Notamacropus eugenii: one gene and its partner. The protein of the gene in region 1 interacts with the protein of each later gene in a biochemical or structural test. Links are inferred from orthologs where the notes say so. Each region holds a gene or a part of one and is shown in the gene's direction. Other genes may lie near its edges. The genes, in order: PKD1 and HDAC9.

Region 1 (8,030 bases):
CTCTCTCTTGACCTTATCTCTCCCCAAAAGTGTTTACTTCTCATTACCTCCCTCCTTGCATTTGCCCTCCCTTCTATCATCCCCCCACACCCCACTTATCCCCTTCAACCCTGCTTTCCTGTAGTGTAAGATAGCCTGCATTTATTTCTGAGGCAGTTAGGTGTGCAGTGGCTGGAGTGTTGGACTTGGAGTGGGGAAGACTTGAGTTCAAATCCTGTGTCAGACACTAGCTTTATGATCCATGGTAAGTCATTCAGCTTGTTCCTCAGCCTCAGTTTCCTCATCTGTAAAGTGGGAATAAAAATAGCATCTACTTTGTTGCCTGGTTATGAGGCTGAAATGAGATAACCTACGGAAAGTACTTTGTCAGCCTTGAAGCACAATACATATACTAGTCATCATAAATGCATTCTTCTCTTTACTCCCTTACCTGTACTTTGTACCAGCATTTTTGAGGTTAAGTAAAACCAGACTAGAAGTCAACTATTTGACAACATCTGTAATATTGTATACCCCTGGTTTCCCATCTCTCCAGCTGAATGAGGGAGATTCCCTTCATTTCAGTGAAAAGTTGTATTTAACCTTAACATGTTTCCATTGATCATAGTGGGCAGAAATATTCCTACCAAGCCTGAGGGTCTGACGACCTCTAAGACACTCCAGAAAGAGAGCCAATGGATGAGATCAAAGCCCTAACTCAACATTTTTCCACCTGGGGTAAGTGGGAGTAGTGGGAGGCTCACTTGGGATGTGGCAGGGGGAGGAACCCATATGATTTCTATGCTGCTGAAGGGCTGGATAGGGTTAGAGAGGAGGCTTCAGATGATATTGCTGGAGTTTCTAGGTTGTTGAAGGGGCAGAAAGTATGTTTTGGAATAAGACTGCAAGCCATTACCAAGGGGGCATGAGGCTAGAGTCAGGAGGAGACTTGTGGGCTGACACTACTCCCTGAGTGGGAGGAATGGAGGAGAAGCTGTCAGCACCCTCTAAATTTCTCACCCCACAGCAAAACCCCAGGAACTCCATCTTAGTTACAGCTTTGGGTAAGACAAACAGTTTAAATGGGACTCAAAACTTTAACAAACCAATAGCTTATTAGGTAAAACACATAAATAACAGTAATATGAAATACATATGAATAGATAAGAGGTACAGTCAAAACATTACATTTTCATGGCTAAGGTGGAGGGAAGGAAAAATCAAAGAAGGCTTCCTAGAAGAGGTAGCATTTGGCCTGGATGTATGGAAATATCAGTGAGAATGAGGAAAGAGGCGTCCCTCAGCATCACTAAGCTAGCTTATGGTGACTGACTCAACTTTCTCCTATTTTGCTTTGTCTGCTTGGAGTGACAAAACGGAGTAGGATGGAGTGGCCTTCATAATTAACTGGAAGTTCTTCTTAACCTTTTTGAGGAGGGCAGGGCTAGTGTAATTTAGCTGGGTGCCCATCTATTTCTCAGTGCCCCTGCTGCCCTCCTTCTGCTGCCCTCCTTTATGCCAACCCTCCCAGCTAAGGCCCCTCAGGCTGCCCCTATTCTATGTAAGGTGTCTCGTTCCCACATTCTTCTGTTCTTCTTGTTATCCTCCTCCTCCTCCTCCTCCTCCTCCTGGTCCTCCTGGTCCTCCTTCTCTTCCTGCTCCTTCTCCTCCTTCTTCTCCTCCTCCTCCTCCTCTTCCTTCTTCTTCTTCTTCTTCTTCTTCTTCTCCTTCTTCTTCTCCTTCTTTTTCCTTTTACTTTTTCCTGCCCTTCCCAACCCGAGTCAAAGAAAGGTGTTTGGTGATGGGGATGACAGCTGGTCTGAGCTGCTGGTATTGAGCAGTGACTCAGTGAGTCAGCATGTGCAAAAAAGAAATTATTTAGTTAGCTGGTGTCAGAAAAAAGAAAAGAAAAAAGGCCAGAGGCATATTCAGAGTATTCTAAAAAAGCCTTAGTGCAGCTTTAAGAAATATGTATAAATGAAATATATGAAATGTATACACATATATTTATGTGTGTGTGTATATATATACATACACACACACATACACATACATATATACATACACTCAGTTACAGTAACCCTTTTCCTTTCAAGAATACCTTTGTTAATTTTTTCTTTTTAATATTTTTTAATTGCATATAAAGACAATTTTGAACACTTATTTTTAAAAATATTGTTTCAAAATATGTTTAACATGATTGTACATGTATAATCCATATCAAATTGCATGTCAGCTTGGGGAGGGAGGATGGGAAGGAGGGAGAAAAACTTGGAACACAAAATCTTATAAAAAAATGAATGCTGGAATCTATCTTTGCATGTAATTGGAAAAAATAAAATACTATTTACTAAAAAAATTTTTTAAAAAACTTTTGAGTTCCAAATTTTCTCTCCTTTCCTCTCCCCTGACTGAGACAGTAAGTAGTTTGTTAGAGGTTATGCATGTTTGCTATTCATTCTAATTGGATTTCACATACACACACATATGAAAACAGAGTGTGAGTTACTAAAGCCCCAAACCTCCCTAGGGATGACTGTCCATTTCCTCTAATCCTCAGCCGACTCCTTGTGCCCAGCCAGAACTTCATTTAGATGTTAAGAGGAAACAGCCTCATTAAGTTTATCTCATGGTTGACATTTCAGTAAATGCAGTAGGAGCTTTCCTTTAAATTATACCTGTCCTTCCACCTACACATAAAGATGAGCTCCGGAGAAATGACCATTTGTGCTTCCTGTCATGAACAGGTCCTGTTCCAAACACGTCTTCAAAAGGAACATGGTGAAGTAAAAAGGACATCCCGTTAGGAGTCAAAGAACCTGAGTTGGAATCCTGCTTCTGCTTAGTCACCGGTGTGACTCTGGGCAAGTCTCTTCTGAACCTCAGTAGGCCTCAGTTTGAGTCATATGTAAAAGGAGGTACTTATACAAGATGACCTCTGACAGGTCTTCCAACTCTAGGCTCATTCTACCCCAGGGAAGCCCCCTGTGCCACTTAGTACATCCTTCCCAGTCGAACAGAAATCTTGGCTGTGGCAGCGTAAAATGCCAATTCACATAAATTGCTTAGTTGGGTGTCCTTAAATAAGTCACTTACCCTCTCTGAAACTCCATTTTATCATTTGTAAAATGGAATTGAATCTCTTGAAGGTTTCTTCTAGCTCCAAACTTCCATGATTCTTTTTAAAACACGAAGTAGCATAACCCTGGTTATGAGTTAGGTGTGTCATCTTTAACTCCTCCCTTCCCACACTGTCACCTGGTACTGATGAGTCTTTCTCTGAAATGTTTGTCCTATCCAGCCCTTCTTTTCCATTCCCATCTCCCTAGGAAACATCCCTTACAGCTAAAGGCCAGCAAAATTCAACAAGCATTTATTGTGTCTAACGAGTGAATTGGGAGTGATACAAGGATAAACACTAATCTGTGCCTTCCCTCTGGGAGCTCTTGTTGACGTCTCCCTTTTTTGAGCTCTCACAACACTGTGGACAATTAATGAGGACCTGACTCACAAGGCTCAACTGAGGCTCAGATGAGAATGTATAGTAAACCGTTAACAGCCTTATAAAAGTGCCACTTATTTTCATTATCACAGTATTGTCGTTTAGATATTTCATCAGTGTTTGTCGCTGACTCTCCAATGAGACTGCAGTTTCCGCAGGAACTGTACTTTGTGTTCGTAGGTTCACACACTCCGAGCTGGAAGGGTCTCGGAGGCCATTTAGTCCAAGTCCTGTTTTTGTAGATGAGGTAACGGGAGCTCACAGACATGACTTGCAGGGAGTGGGGAATCGAGGATTTGAATCAACTTCTTCTGAAGTTAGAGTCTCAGGACAAAGTTGCCTCCAAGATGCGGCTTGTTTCAGGGCTAAGCACAATGAATATCCTCTTGTGAATGTTTCCTGGAGCCAGAACTTGGGCTCCTTGAGGGCAGGGAATATTTTAATTTTTGTCTTTCTACCCTGGGTTCCTAGGAGGTGTTTCAAAATACTGGCAAACAAATAAAGGTTTTTGCGATTCTTGGAGAGGTTTGGACTGTATTTGGGGTCCAGGTGAAATCAGGGAAGGGTGTGGAGGTCGCTGAGCCCAGGGACAGTCGTGCTCAGAGACCCCTGCTCCTAGTCAGGGTAGGAGGAGGGTCCTGCGGCCGATCCCTGCCCTCAGAGCCCTAGGGCCCCATCCCAGGCAGGGCTGCATCCCTGTGGCCCAGAAAGCAGGGCGCGGGTACCCGAGGCGTCCCTTTCTCGGGGACAGGGACAGCTCGGGCAGGTTCCTGAGCCCAGGCCCCTGGAACACACGGGGCCATAAGGCACCAAGCTCCTTCCTTCCCTCGGCGGGAGCCCGGGAAGCCGGGAGCGCCGGGGCCGGGGCCCCCGAACCGCACCGCAGGGTCAGCCTGGGCGGCGAGGGTGGGCCCGGCCGGGCGCGGAGCCGACGCTGGCCCGAGAGGCGGAGGCGAAGGCGGCGGCGGCGGCGGCGGAGGGAGGCGGAGGCTTGGCTAGGTCCCCTCCTCCGGCCCGGCTCAGGGAGGAGCCCTAGCGACCCCGGCCCGGCACTGCACAGCGAGCGCGGCCTGGCCCAGGCGACGGCGGCAGCCGAGCCGGGAAGGAAGAGGTCGAGCCCGCCGCCGCACTCGCTGCCGCCGCCGTCCGTCCGCGCCGCTCTCCCCGCCGCCCGGCCCATGCAGCCCGGGAGCCCGGCGTGAGCGCTCCGGCCGGGCCTGGCTCCGGCTCCGGCTCCGGCTCCGGCTCTGGCTCCGGCCGCGGCTGCTGCTGCGGCTGCGGGGCGGCGGCCGCCGGGCTGGGCCGGGCCGGGCCAGGCCGGGGCCATGCGCAGGGTGCACTGAGCGATGCCGCGGGGACAGGGGCCGCCGCTCGCAGCCCCCTCCCCGCACGGTCATGGCGGCCCCCGGCCGCCCCCTGCTCCCGCGCCCGCCCCCGCCCGCCTCGCTTTCTGCCTTTGCCTGGGTCTCTGCCTCGGGGGCCTCTCCGCCGCCCCAGACCCGGGCTGCCAACCCTGCGGCCTTGAGTGCGATTGCACCCCGGGGCCCGGCGGTGCCTGCAGCGTCAACTGCTCCGGCCGCGGCTTGCGGGGGCTTGGGCCCGAGCTGCCCATCCCTCCCGACGTGACTTCGCTGTGAGTAACCGTTCCCCGCTCGCTCCGGCTTCTGGTCCGGCTCCAGCACCATCCTCAGCCCCTTGGCCTCCCTCTTCTCCACCTCCCTCCAGACCCCCAGCTCCTCCGGACCCCCCTCCACGCACAGCCTCTGCGACCCCCACCCCAGCGCTATCTGTGTTGTGATGCCCGGGACGGAAGTGGCACATCCCAGATGTCTGGGTTCACGTGGAGGTGGGGCACCCTTGCTGGGTGACACATCGTGGCTGCCTTGGGACAGGTTACAGTGTTTCAACAGGAGGTTACAGTGTTTCTACTTAGAGAGACTTTCGACTTGGAGATAGGAGGGTCTGGCTATTGCCCCCCTTCTCTTTTGGGGCACAGACCCACCCATAGGGAAGCTGTAAGCAATCTTGGAGGAGCAAGCAGATTGGGGATCTGGGTACCAGGGACCATCTCTGTACCAGTTGGCCCAGGGTAAGGGGGCCTACTCTCCCCTTCTTTCACTGCACTTTTCCCTGTTTTTTGCCAACTGGTCTTTGGCTGGAGATGCTGGCAGTGCTGTTGCCATGGCTTTGGGCCTGGAGGAAGGCAAGGGGGTGGGGAAGGACGGGGAGAACTGACTGAAAAAGTTGTGGGTAAGGCCTGACCATCTCTAAGCAGCAGGCCCGAATTCTGGTTCTGTGTTTGGTCCATGAAGGCCAAGAGAATGTTTGGTCTCCATGTACACTCCCGCTGTCTTCCCAACTTTCCCAGAGATCTAGATACAACCCCAGACAGAAACATACACACTTTGACAGCTGAACCTACATATCTATCTCCCTTCCTTACTTGGCTTGGCCATAGATATGTGGGATTTAGCATGGTTTTTTTGGGTGGAATTTTTGCAACGGTGTTTGGAAGATGGGGAATGTGTATGTTTGGCGCACTTAGATGGCAAAGACGTTATCACTAATCTGAAATGTATTTGGGCTTGCCCTGAAGTTAAGGGGGTCAAACCCCCACAAAATTCCGTTGGCACTCTTTGTCCCAGCCATCCTCTGTAGTTCACCCTGTAAAAGTGAAATTGTTATTATTTCTCTCCTAGATGGGGAGCAGGAGCTTGCCTGGCTTTGCTGTGGACAAAAAATGATGCATGTTAGAACAATGAAAACTTAGAACCATGTTTCAACTAAAGTTCAAACGTCTTTGCAGTAGAGAAGGAAACTCACAAGTCTTGCTGGGTGGAATTGGAGGAGAGAGGCCAATCTAGCATTCTGTCTAGGACTGCTCAGAACTGACTTTTCCCAAATTAGGAGATGTTTTGAGGGGGTTGTTTTAATCATTGTTGAATTGCTTCACTTGAACAACTGTCTGGTTCCTAACACCTTCCCAATTTTCAAGGTTAGGATGGTTTTGCTGTTCATGTCTCTAGTCACTTAGGAGTGTAAACTGTCCATTTGGATCCCTAGTGCCTTCTTTGAATTATGAGTCCCCAAGTCTAACATTCCCCCAGGATTCAGCCCTAGTGTCTAATGATCAGTTCTCTAGAGGTATGAGTCCAATATTCATGAGAATTATCTGTTCTGCTGCTTGAGAGATAACTCAAAGTATACTCCCTAGGATTCCTGCATCTAGATCAGTCTCATGTCTGGTGTGCCCTGGGGCCTGGAAGAGTGGCAGGTTTATCACCATTTGGCATATTTTTCATTATTTAATTATGCATTGTGTAATAGTTATTATGTACCAATTATTTGCTTATCGAATTGAGTTGTTTGCCTAACAATCACTATGTTGAGTAAAACTCATACGTACAGTTAAAAAAAAAGCCAGACCCCTGTGGCAGTGCTTAGGAGGAAATAGTTGGACATCTACCTGAAAAGGAGGCCAAGAAGGAAAAAAAATCTGCATACCTCACCTCTCTGTTATTGTCCATAGGAGCTTACATTTGTAGTTGGAAAGACTTTAGGCCAGAGGGATCAAGCTCAGGTCTGCAGGCTGCATACGTCTGGCCCCCCAAACTCGGCAGTGTGGCCTGAACCAGATTAAAATGTAACTAGGAAATGTTTAGCAAAATAAATAAAAATACAATAAAGATAATGTTTATTTATGGTTTTCTAAGTCAATATGTGGCTTTCAGGGACCTGCCTCTACTTTATTTGACTTTGATACTGCTTTAGGTTTTAGTGTCATTTTAGAAATGAGGAGACTGAGGCCCAGAGAAATTAGCTGGTGTGCACTGGGGTCTAGAAGAGTAGCAGGTTTATCACCATTTGGCATATTTTTCATTATTTTATTATGCATTGTGTAGTCGTTATTATGTACTGATCATGGAGAGTCACTGATGTAGTAAGTGATAGAGCTAACATTTGAATTCAGGACCACTGATTCCAAATCCTGGTAATAATGAGACAGATAATCTAGAAATCATTTTTGAATTTGGAATAAGTTGTGATATTTTGGAGCAGATGGACATTATGGAAACATTGTAGTGCAGTGTTTAAAATGAGCTTAAATGTTTTGAAAGCAAATGATCATGGTGTCAGGTGACCTAGAAGTATTCTGAGTAATGGAAGGTGACCTGGGACTCAACAATTGTTGTGACAAGCTACATGTGAATAACCATGAGTTGTTTGCATCAAGAAAAATACTTTCACTTTCTGGACGTTGGGAGAGAAAGTAGGATCCAAATCCCCCCTGTGCTTCAAGACTTAGAGCAAATAGTTCTTCCTTTCTAGACTACTCTCTGGCAGAGAGTCCCTTGTGATATTATTTCTACCAAAAACATGGTTGCTTTAAATTGTTATTACCCTCTGATATCATTTATCTTCGTACATATTTACGTCTTTCTTCCTAACTAGATTAGAAATTCCTTGAGGGAAGGTAATATCTCTTATTCTTCTTTGTGTCACCCAGAGCATTAAAATTAAGGATGTGAGGGGAGAAAGTTTACACGTA
Region 2 (8,057 bases), on another chromosome or scaffold:
TTAATTGGGGGCAGCCACTGATGCCCTTAGAAAGTTCATTCATTAATAGCGATTGACCCATGCTACCATTTAGAGTCTTTATGGCTTGTGGGCATTGAAGAGTTACTGCCTTGTCCAAGGTCACAGGGCTATTGTGGCACTGGGCAGTACCTGAACTTAGGTCTTCTGACTGCAAGGCTGATCTTCTCTCTGTTCTGCCAGGTTGCCTCTCCATTCTGTCTTATGCTCAGTTAATCCCCAAGTGGTTGATCGTCACTGTCTTGGACCCATTGAGGAGGATCTGAACCTGGATATGCCACAGTCACCCTCATCATCATGTGTATCCATGCATATCTCATTGGTTGGAAGTGCTAGATTCCCTATTGTTCACAGACAAGGGTCAACATTTTATCCTTCCTCCCTATCTCCCTTTGAGGAGCAACATGACTCTCTCTTTCTAGGGCAAGAGTTAAATAGATCTCCTAGGAGTCACGGATGGATTTAGAGGGACCATGAACTTGGAAGGGGGAAAAGAAATTACGTCTTTATTTTCACTAACCTCTAACCACTAACTTTAACCATTTAAAAACAAGATTCAGAGAAAGACTGGTTCTCTGGTCATTCTGGTTTTACCCAACCATCAGAGTCATCCAAAACACAGAAGAGATTTAAAAACTCTTCCTCTAGGAGGTGTGGTCTCTTGTAGATTTACCCAATCAGAATCAGTTCTCAAGCTCTTGTCTCTGGCAAACTCTCTCTCTTCCCTGAATTTGCTGTTTTACATGACCTTGGTGTATTGGAAATGGATCCCCAGAGAACCAGATAGCCGTTCTTGGAGAGTATACACAACGCTTACTTTTTAGTATTGGAAAAATAAAAACAATGAACAGTAAATAATAAAAAGAAATCTCCTGGGTATATAGATGCTTATCAGCGTCCTAGACCCTGATGGTCCCAGATGGTACATAAACCTCTCTAAACCTAGGAATTGGAAGAAGAAAACACTTTGGATTTCTTTAGGTCCCCATGACCATTTCTCCTGAGAGGAGGCAAGGGAGTTTAGACAAAATGGCCAGCTCCTTACTACATCTTTGCCTCGTGCTTTCAATAGGGCAGTATTTAAAGATGTAGGAACCTAGTATCTGGGATTTGTTATACCATGAGACATGGAGATGGATGTAATACACCAAATGGAGGCCAATGCTGCCCCCTGGCTCAGCTGCCCAGGCTCTGGTCACAAGTGAAGAGATACTTATCTCTTTGGCCCTAACTTCTTTTCCATCTCACATCACTGAATCTGAGTTATCTGGCTCCCATTTGTGGCAGGCAAGGGGTCTGTCCCATCTCACTGCCCTCTTCTAATCAGAAGCTTCACTTGTCCAATTCTTTCTCTTCCCTGGACCCAATAGTTAGAAGAGATAGTGGAATTAGGTTATTGTCCACTGGAAAAATAATGGGATCATGACTGGAGCTGATGACCAGAGTGGAGACTTTAGACAAGGAGATGGAAATAAGCCATGTGGAAAGAAAAGAAACTTTTAATGGAAAGTCAATGAGACAGTGGGAAAGGCAGAAAGATTGCATCCTTTTCTCCTTAGACTTACTCCCCACCCCCACCCATGTATTTTGTCCAAATTCAAAATGCGTAAATTGTGCTAGATTATCCTTTTCCCTCAACTTAACTCCCCCCCTCCAACATAGCCAGATTTCATCAAATCTCTTATTGTTCATTTTTTTCAAATAAGCTCAAATATGGAAACTGTACAGATCCCAAGTATTGTGTCGGTGAAATCATTTCTCTTTATGTTTAGATAATTGGCCACACAATATTTCTCATTTTCTGCAATTCTGGGAAAAACACTTCTAATTAAGCATAATAGCTGAGCATTTCTTTCATATTGCTGAGCATGTGACAGTTTTTCAAGATAAAAATCAAGAAGGTTTATTTCTCGCTGACAGCCAGAGGCTGAGTATGTTTATGTAACTATGACTGTAGACACGTCCAAGGAGCCTTCCTTTAAGGTTCCTTATCAATAAAAATGTTCCAGTTATCAACAAAGGCAATTGTACCATTTGGTTTTATACATATTTTAATTTGAAGGATCTTAATATAGGAAATGGAAAAACAAAATTTGAAAGTTGTGTCTTTGAGACTAGAATAGAATTTTTACTACCATCCTGTCATAAATCTGAAAATTCTCCATGAGTAACATGTAGTCATGGAGAAAACTGATTGATAGAAGGAGCACCAGAAGGAACTGGGGATGGTTGGTCTACAGAAGAAAAGCCTTTGGGAGGGGCTGGGGATGGTGGCTGCCTTTGGTCTCTCTGAAGACAACAAAACGTTCCGTAAGGGTCATCTTTGTACCTTTATCTCCTAATATGGTGTAGCCAATAATGAGTGCTCAATAAATTCTTATGAATTAGTCTAAGTATTGGGAGGTTTATCATGTGAGGGAGAATTTCGCTTAGTTCTGATTGACCTCAGAGAACCAGAATGAGGAGCGATGGGTGGAAGTAATAAAGAGACAAAAAATCCCTGACAATGAGCACTGTCCCAAAGTGGAACGGGCTACTTCAAAAAATGGTGGAGATCCTCTCTTTGAAGGCCTTCAAGCAAAGGCTGGAAGACCCATTGGTTATCTTTTAGAGGGGATTCTTATTCAAGACTAGGCAGCTTCTGATTTCCCTTCCACTTCCAGGAATGTAGCAAATAGGTTTCTTCCATCTGGATTAGGGTAAACATAGTATTTCTGTAGAGCCAAGAGGCCATGGCAGAGCCCTCTTCATCTTGGGAACTCTGGAAGCCCAGCTTTCATGGGACAGTGAGTTAGACATGAGTGAGGCATGGGGAGAACCTTGTTTCCCAAGGTGAGTTAATGCTCATTTTAGTGCAACTGAGGGAGGCAATTGCAGGTGATTGATGGAAAAGCTTCTGATTCTTTTCGAGGTTATAGGAAAACGGTTTAAAGAAATGCTTCCCTGGGGCTGTGATCTCACCAATTTGGGAGTTCCCTCCCATGGTGCAAATTGCAAACCATCCATGACTGCCCATTCCACATGCCTCTTGTTCATATCCTCTTATAAGTGGGCCACAGGGGGAGCCCCCACCCCAGCAGGAAGTCCGAGAATCTTCCCTGAATTCTCCTGACTTCCTGAAGGCAGCAGGGAGGCATGCAGGCTGCACACTGGGGGTTCTCTCTGTCAGTCACCTACTTCTGCACAAACATTTTATGAAATGCCTACTATGTGCCAGGCACTGTGCTAAGTAAGAACTTTCTGAATAATGGCTCCTTGCACGACATCCTCTATTCCAACCTTTTTTGTAATTTTTTTATTTGTAATGTGTGGCAGCCTGCTCACACCCACCATATGCCTCCCCATTGCCCTCTGGGGGCAATTCCTTTTAATTACAAAAAATTCTCTGAAAGCTCTAACAACAGAAATAACCTGGTTAGATCCTCTGATCATTTACATCAAGTGAGGCATAAAATGAGGAAACATAGACTTGCCAAAGGTGTTCAGGAGAATAAGATTTTAAATGTCAGGTGATAACATTTAAGAATGTGATGCATAATTAAAGATTCATAGAAATGAGGGGAACATTTTCTCAAATTCTCTCTTCTTGACCCCAGGTGTGTAGAAGTCTGTAAAGATATTCATGTCTGCTTTTTTAAAGGCAGAAGCGTATCCCTAGGATATGTAAGTACCTTTCATCTTCTGGAAGGAATCAGGTCAAGGACAACATTAACACCTTTAATGAGAGAGGATAGATTTTCATTAGACCAGCTTATTTTGAGGGGCCAGCTTTGAGGTGGCCTCTTCTACTTTATACAACTTTATTCTACTTTTGGTTCAATTTCACAGGCATGTTTAAAGGATCTTCTCTGTTTCAGACAATTTCTGTCTAAAATGATGAGTCTAATTCCTCTTTCACACGACAGCCCTTGAGAGATTTGAAGGTAGCTCCCTGGTCTCTACTAAGTTTTCTCTTCTCCAGTCTAAATAGACCCAGTTTCCTCAATTTGTCCAAATATGTTTCACGAACTTGAGACCTTTTGTCACCAAGAGGCCAGTTGAAGCTGAAGGAAAACCTTCCTAAGAAAGGAAGCAGGCCCTCAGTGAGATGGTCCACCTCCCTTTTTGGAGGGTTTCTAGGGGAAGCTGGAAACCCATCTCTCAGGTATAGTAGAGTGGGCTCCAGGTTGGACTGGCTGGCTACTGAGGTCCCTTCCCCATCTCAAACTCAATGTGCCTATGGCTCTCTCCACACTATCCCTTGTTTACTCCTCATTTGTGATGGCAAATCTTCATCTGTGCCCTTATGCAAGATAGGGTTATGGAAAGACTTCTGGGGTAGGGGCTGGGGGAGAAGCTGATTCTGTCAGCTCTTCTTTCCATCCAGGCCTGGGGCCTGGTGGTAGACCAATCCTCTTCCAATGGAATACATGATGGCAGCAGGCGCTATACCAGGTCCTGGGTCCTTTTGGTTACTCTTGACCCCCTAATCCTGGTAAACTGTATTGTTGAGAAAAGTCTATATTGTGGCATCAGCAGAGGTTGCTGGGATGTTGTCTCCCAAAGGGAAGGGAAGGTCTTCCCTCTCCAGAGGTATGTCACAACTTGGGCATTGCTGAATATGTAAGTTAGGAGAATGGCTATGAGCAGTGTGGGGATGGGCCCCCTGACCTTAGCCAGGCTGGATATCCCTGGTCCCACAACTGCAGCCTTTCCCCCTGGCCAGGCACTTTGCCAGCCTAGCTAGGGAGCTCCCATGGTTTCCCTCTTGCCATGATGAGGCATCAAAGGGTTATTTTAGTGGATTTTTAAAAAGGTTAATCAAGCATTTACTAAAGGCATGCCAGGTACCAGCGAGTGTGATAGGCTCTGGAGAAGCAGAGGAAAATGAAATAGTCCCTTGTCCTCAAGGACCTGACATTTCACGAGGGGAAACAATACAAAGAGATTCAAGACAAATAGAGTCACTTGTTCAAGGCATGCTGGAATTGATTCATGTCATGTGGCTCTCATCAGGTCAGTAGCTATGAACCACACTATGACATCATAATGTCAGCTGACTTATTTGGGATGCCATCAGTCTAAGGAAGTCTTGGTGCAGACACTCCCTCCCCTGATGGAGATCAGCACCTGTTCATCCTAGAAAGTTGCCTGGGGCACTGAGAGATCAGGTGATTTGGCAGGTAAGTGTTAGAGGCACAACCTGCCCCCAGGAATCCCTGCCTTAGAAGCCGTCTCTCTAAAATGCTCCCTCCCTACCCCCTCACAGCAGCATTGCCCATAGGTGGGGTCCAACTCTGTTTACTTTGCATGTGGTCTCATTTGATTCCTACAATGCCATTGGGAGGTGGGTGCTTTATGCTTCATTATTGCCAACTTGCAGATGAGGAAACAGGAACTTGGAGAGGAGGTTAGTCTGTACTCTCACCACCTGCTGAGTGCCAGGGGTGGAGGTTCAACCTTGGGCTTCTTGACTCTCCCCTCTGCCAGGCTGCTTCTCCACAACCTAGGACCTCGTCCTTGTCCTTGCACAGCCCCAGTGATTTCTTCTCAGCTCACATAGCTCTATGAGAGCCATCAGAAGACGCCAGACCAAACTCGGGATTTCTCAGAGACTGTACTGTGCTATCTTGCCCTGCTGTTCTTTGGCTTAGAGAACTGGCTTCCTAAAGGGGGTTCAGCATCGTTCATTGGCAGCAGGGCTACTGCAGATCTACTCTTCATAAAGCCATTGGAGCATCCATCTGTGAGCAGAATGGGACTCTCTTAGGATAGAGGCACCAGGAGAGGAGATTTTGTTTTATTGTTTCCTATGACAACCAATTGGTTACTCATGTGAATTCATGCTATGTTAACATAGGATGGTAGCATTATGGCTCTAGAATTGGAAGGGAGCTTGGAGGTCATCTTGTCCCATGCTCTCACTTTACCAAGCAGGAAGTAGAGGCTTAGGTCAAGTGAATTGTCTAGAGCCACACAGGTAGAAAGTAACAATGGCAAAATTTAAACTCAGGTTATTTGACTTGAAGTCCATGCTGTTCTAATCATTGTAACTCACATTTGCATGACATTTTCCTTTCAATAAACCTTTGAGGAAGAAGTTACAGATTAAATTAACTCTCTTTTACAGGTGAAGAAACTGAGGCTTGCTGAGGTGATGATATCAATGCCCAAAGCTACATAATTATGTGTGTCTGTATCTCTCCTGCCTTGAAGCCCAGCCTCCTTCATTATAGCACACTGCCTCTTGTTTAAGGAGGTAGGACTAGCTGTGTGTGGAAGTCATGTGCCACTCTAGGAACAGGGCCACCTGGAGAAAGGTACTCTGGGAAGCAGGGCTTAATGGGTTAATGGCTCCTGATTCCTACCCCCTCCCCAGACCCCAGTCTGGGGGTGGGAAGACAGCCCAATTGAGTTCAATAAGCATTTATTAGACATCTACTATATGCCAGACACTGTGCTAGTCTCTAGGGATTCAAAGATGAAAAAGAAATAGGTCCTGTTCTCAAAGAGTTTATATTTTACTGGAGGTGATCATGTGTGTCTGTGTGTTTGGACATGTGTGTGTATGTTTGTGCACAATGCAATGTAATTTGTTGGGGGAGGGAGAAGTAACTTCTCTGAGGAGGCTCCATAAGAAATGGAGCTTGAGCATCCCATCCCCCAGGAAGGAGTTAGGGGGATTCTGAAAAGGCAGAGCTCAGGGTATGGTCCAGACCTGGAGAGCGGTCTGAGAAAAGACAAGAGGCCAGAGATGTGGCATCACCTATAGGGAACAAGGAGGTTCTTAGGGAAATGGCAGCCTTTGGATTCCATTTCTTTCTCCCTGGTTTCTTGGCTTCGCAGTTAGAGGTGGAGTGTTTCAAAATGGATCTATATGCCTTTGAAGAATGGGAATGATCACTGGGTGAGATGATGGGTATCTAAATTAGAAGATGACCAGTTGACACCCACCTGAGGCATCCTTTAGACAGGAGCTCTTGCCAAAGTAAACAGTCCTTGATGAAGAAGTTGGGGGAAGGTCGTCTATGGACAGAGTTGTCAGATTTTGACCTGAGACTGTAGAGAGGCTGGTGGGTCAATGAGTAATGTCTTTGAGACTAAGCAGCATTGCCTGGGAGGAGGCCCCTGTGTGTTTGTTTGCGGAGAGTAAGGGATTTAGGGAGGGGGGCTCCGATTTAACAAGAGTGAGTTTAGCCATTAAGGTAATCACATTAATAATTGAGATATAATCTTTTAAGGCAGCTTGGTAGGGTGGGCTGCATGCTGAGCTTTAAGTCTAGGAGATCTTAGTTCAAATTCTACCTTGGACACTTGTGATTTGTATAATATTACAAAGGCCACTTAACCTTCCTGAGCCTCATTTTCCTTATCTATACAATGGGCAGGATAACACCTTCCACTCAGTATCCCCCCTTCAGGCTCAGTTAGAAAAGGGTACAAGCTTTAAAAGGTCTATATGTGTGTTTGTGGTGTTGTTACTGCGGCTACCATCTCGTGTGATCACCACATAACTATGAGTTAAGTATTCCCGAGGTTTTACATCGGGATATGATGGTTTACAGTGGGGCCTCTCAAAAGGTGAGTCGGAGACCTCTGGAGTTCCTACGGTCCCTTTTGGGGGCTCCACAAAGTTAAAACTACCTGCATAATGATGTTAAGACATTCTAACTTCTAATTCAGAAAATGCCGGTAGATGTAAATGCTCTTAGGAGAGGAGCTTTCTTTATTTTTAAGACCACAAGTTTGAAAACTTCTGACTGACAGACTGCTCCAGTATGATGAGTAGGTGATGCCTGTGCTAATGTGCCCATTTTACAGGTGAGGAAACGCAGCTCAGAGCACTTGTGACTTGCTGAGTAATATTACTAGTAAGTCCCAGAGCCTGATGCGTGCCTAGTCTTCTAGCTGTACTGGGTGTTGAGGGATACATTAAGAGGTTTGAAGATCAGGCCCTAAGACTGTCCTAACTAACAGGAACATTGGCTCTCTTAGGGGACAGATGATGAAACCTGTCCCCCACACCCTGACAGAGAAGAGAGGGTCTCATGCAGAATGGC

The links.
Region 2: the proteins of PKD1 (region 1) and HDAC9 form a complex in vitro, tested with the Homo sapiens proteins (2 studies listed by BioGRID, with this or other methods). The link is inferred for Notamacropus eugenii from reciprocal best matches to the Homo sapiens genes PKD1 and HDAC9.

The regions. Positions count from the first base shown.
Region 1 is NC_092872.1:48,002,059-48,010,088, forward strand, and holds the start of PKD1 (polycystin-1), read left to right. Parts: upstream 1-4,812; 5' UTR 4,813-4,827; coding exon 4,828-5,114; intron 5,115-8,030. UniProt on the Homo sapiens protein: Component of a heteromeric calcium-permeable ion channel formed by PKD1 and PKD2 that is activated by interaction between PKD1 and a Wnt family member, such as WNT3A and WNT9B. Both PKD1 and PKD2 are required for channel activity.
Region 2 is NC_092874.1:10,742,150-10,750,206, forward strand, and holds the start of HDAC9 (histone deacetylase 9), read left to right. Parts: upstream 1-5,019; 5' UTR 5,020-5,180; intron 5,181-6,127; 5' UTR 6,128-6,317; intron 6,318-8,057. UniProt on the Homo sapiens protein: Responsible for the deacetylation of lysine residues on the N-terminal part of the core histones (H2A, H2B, H3 and H4).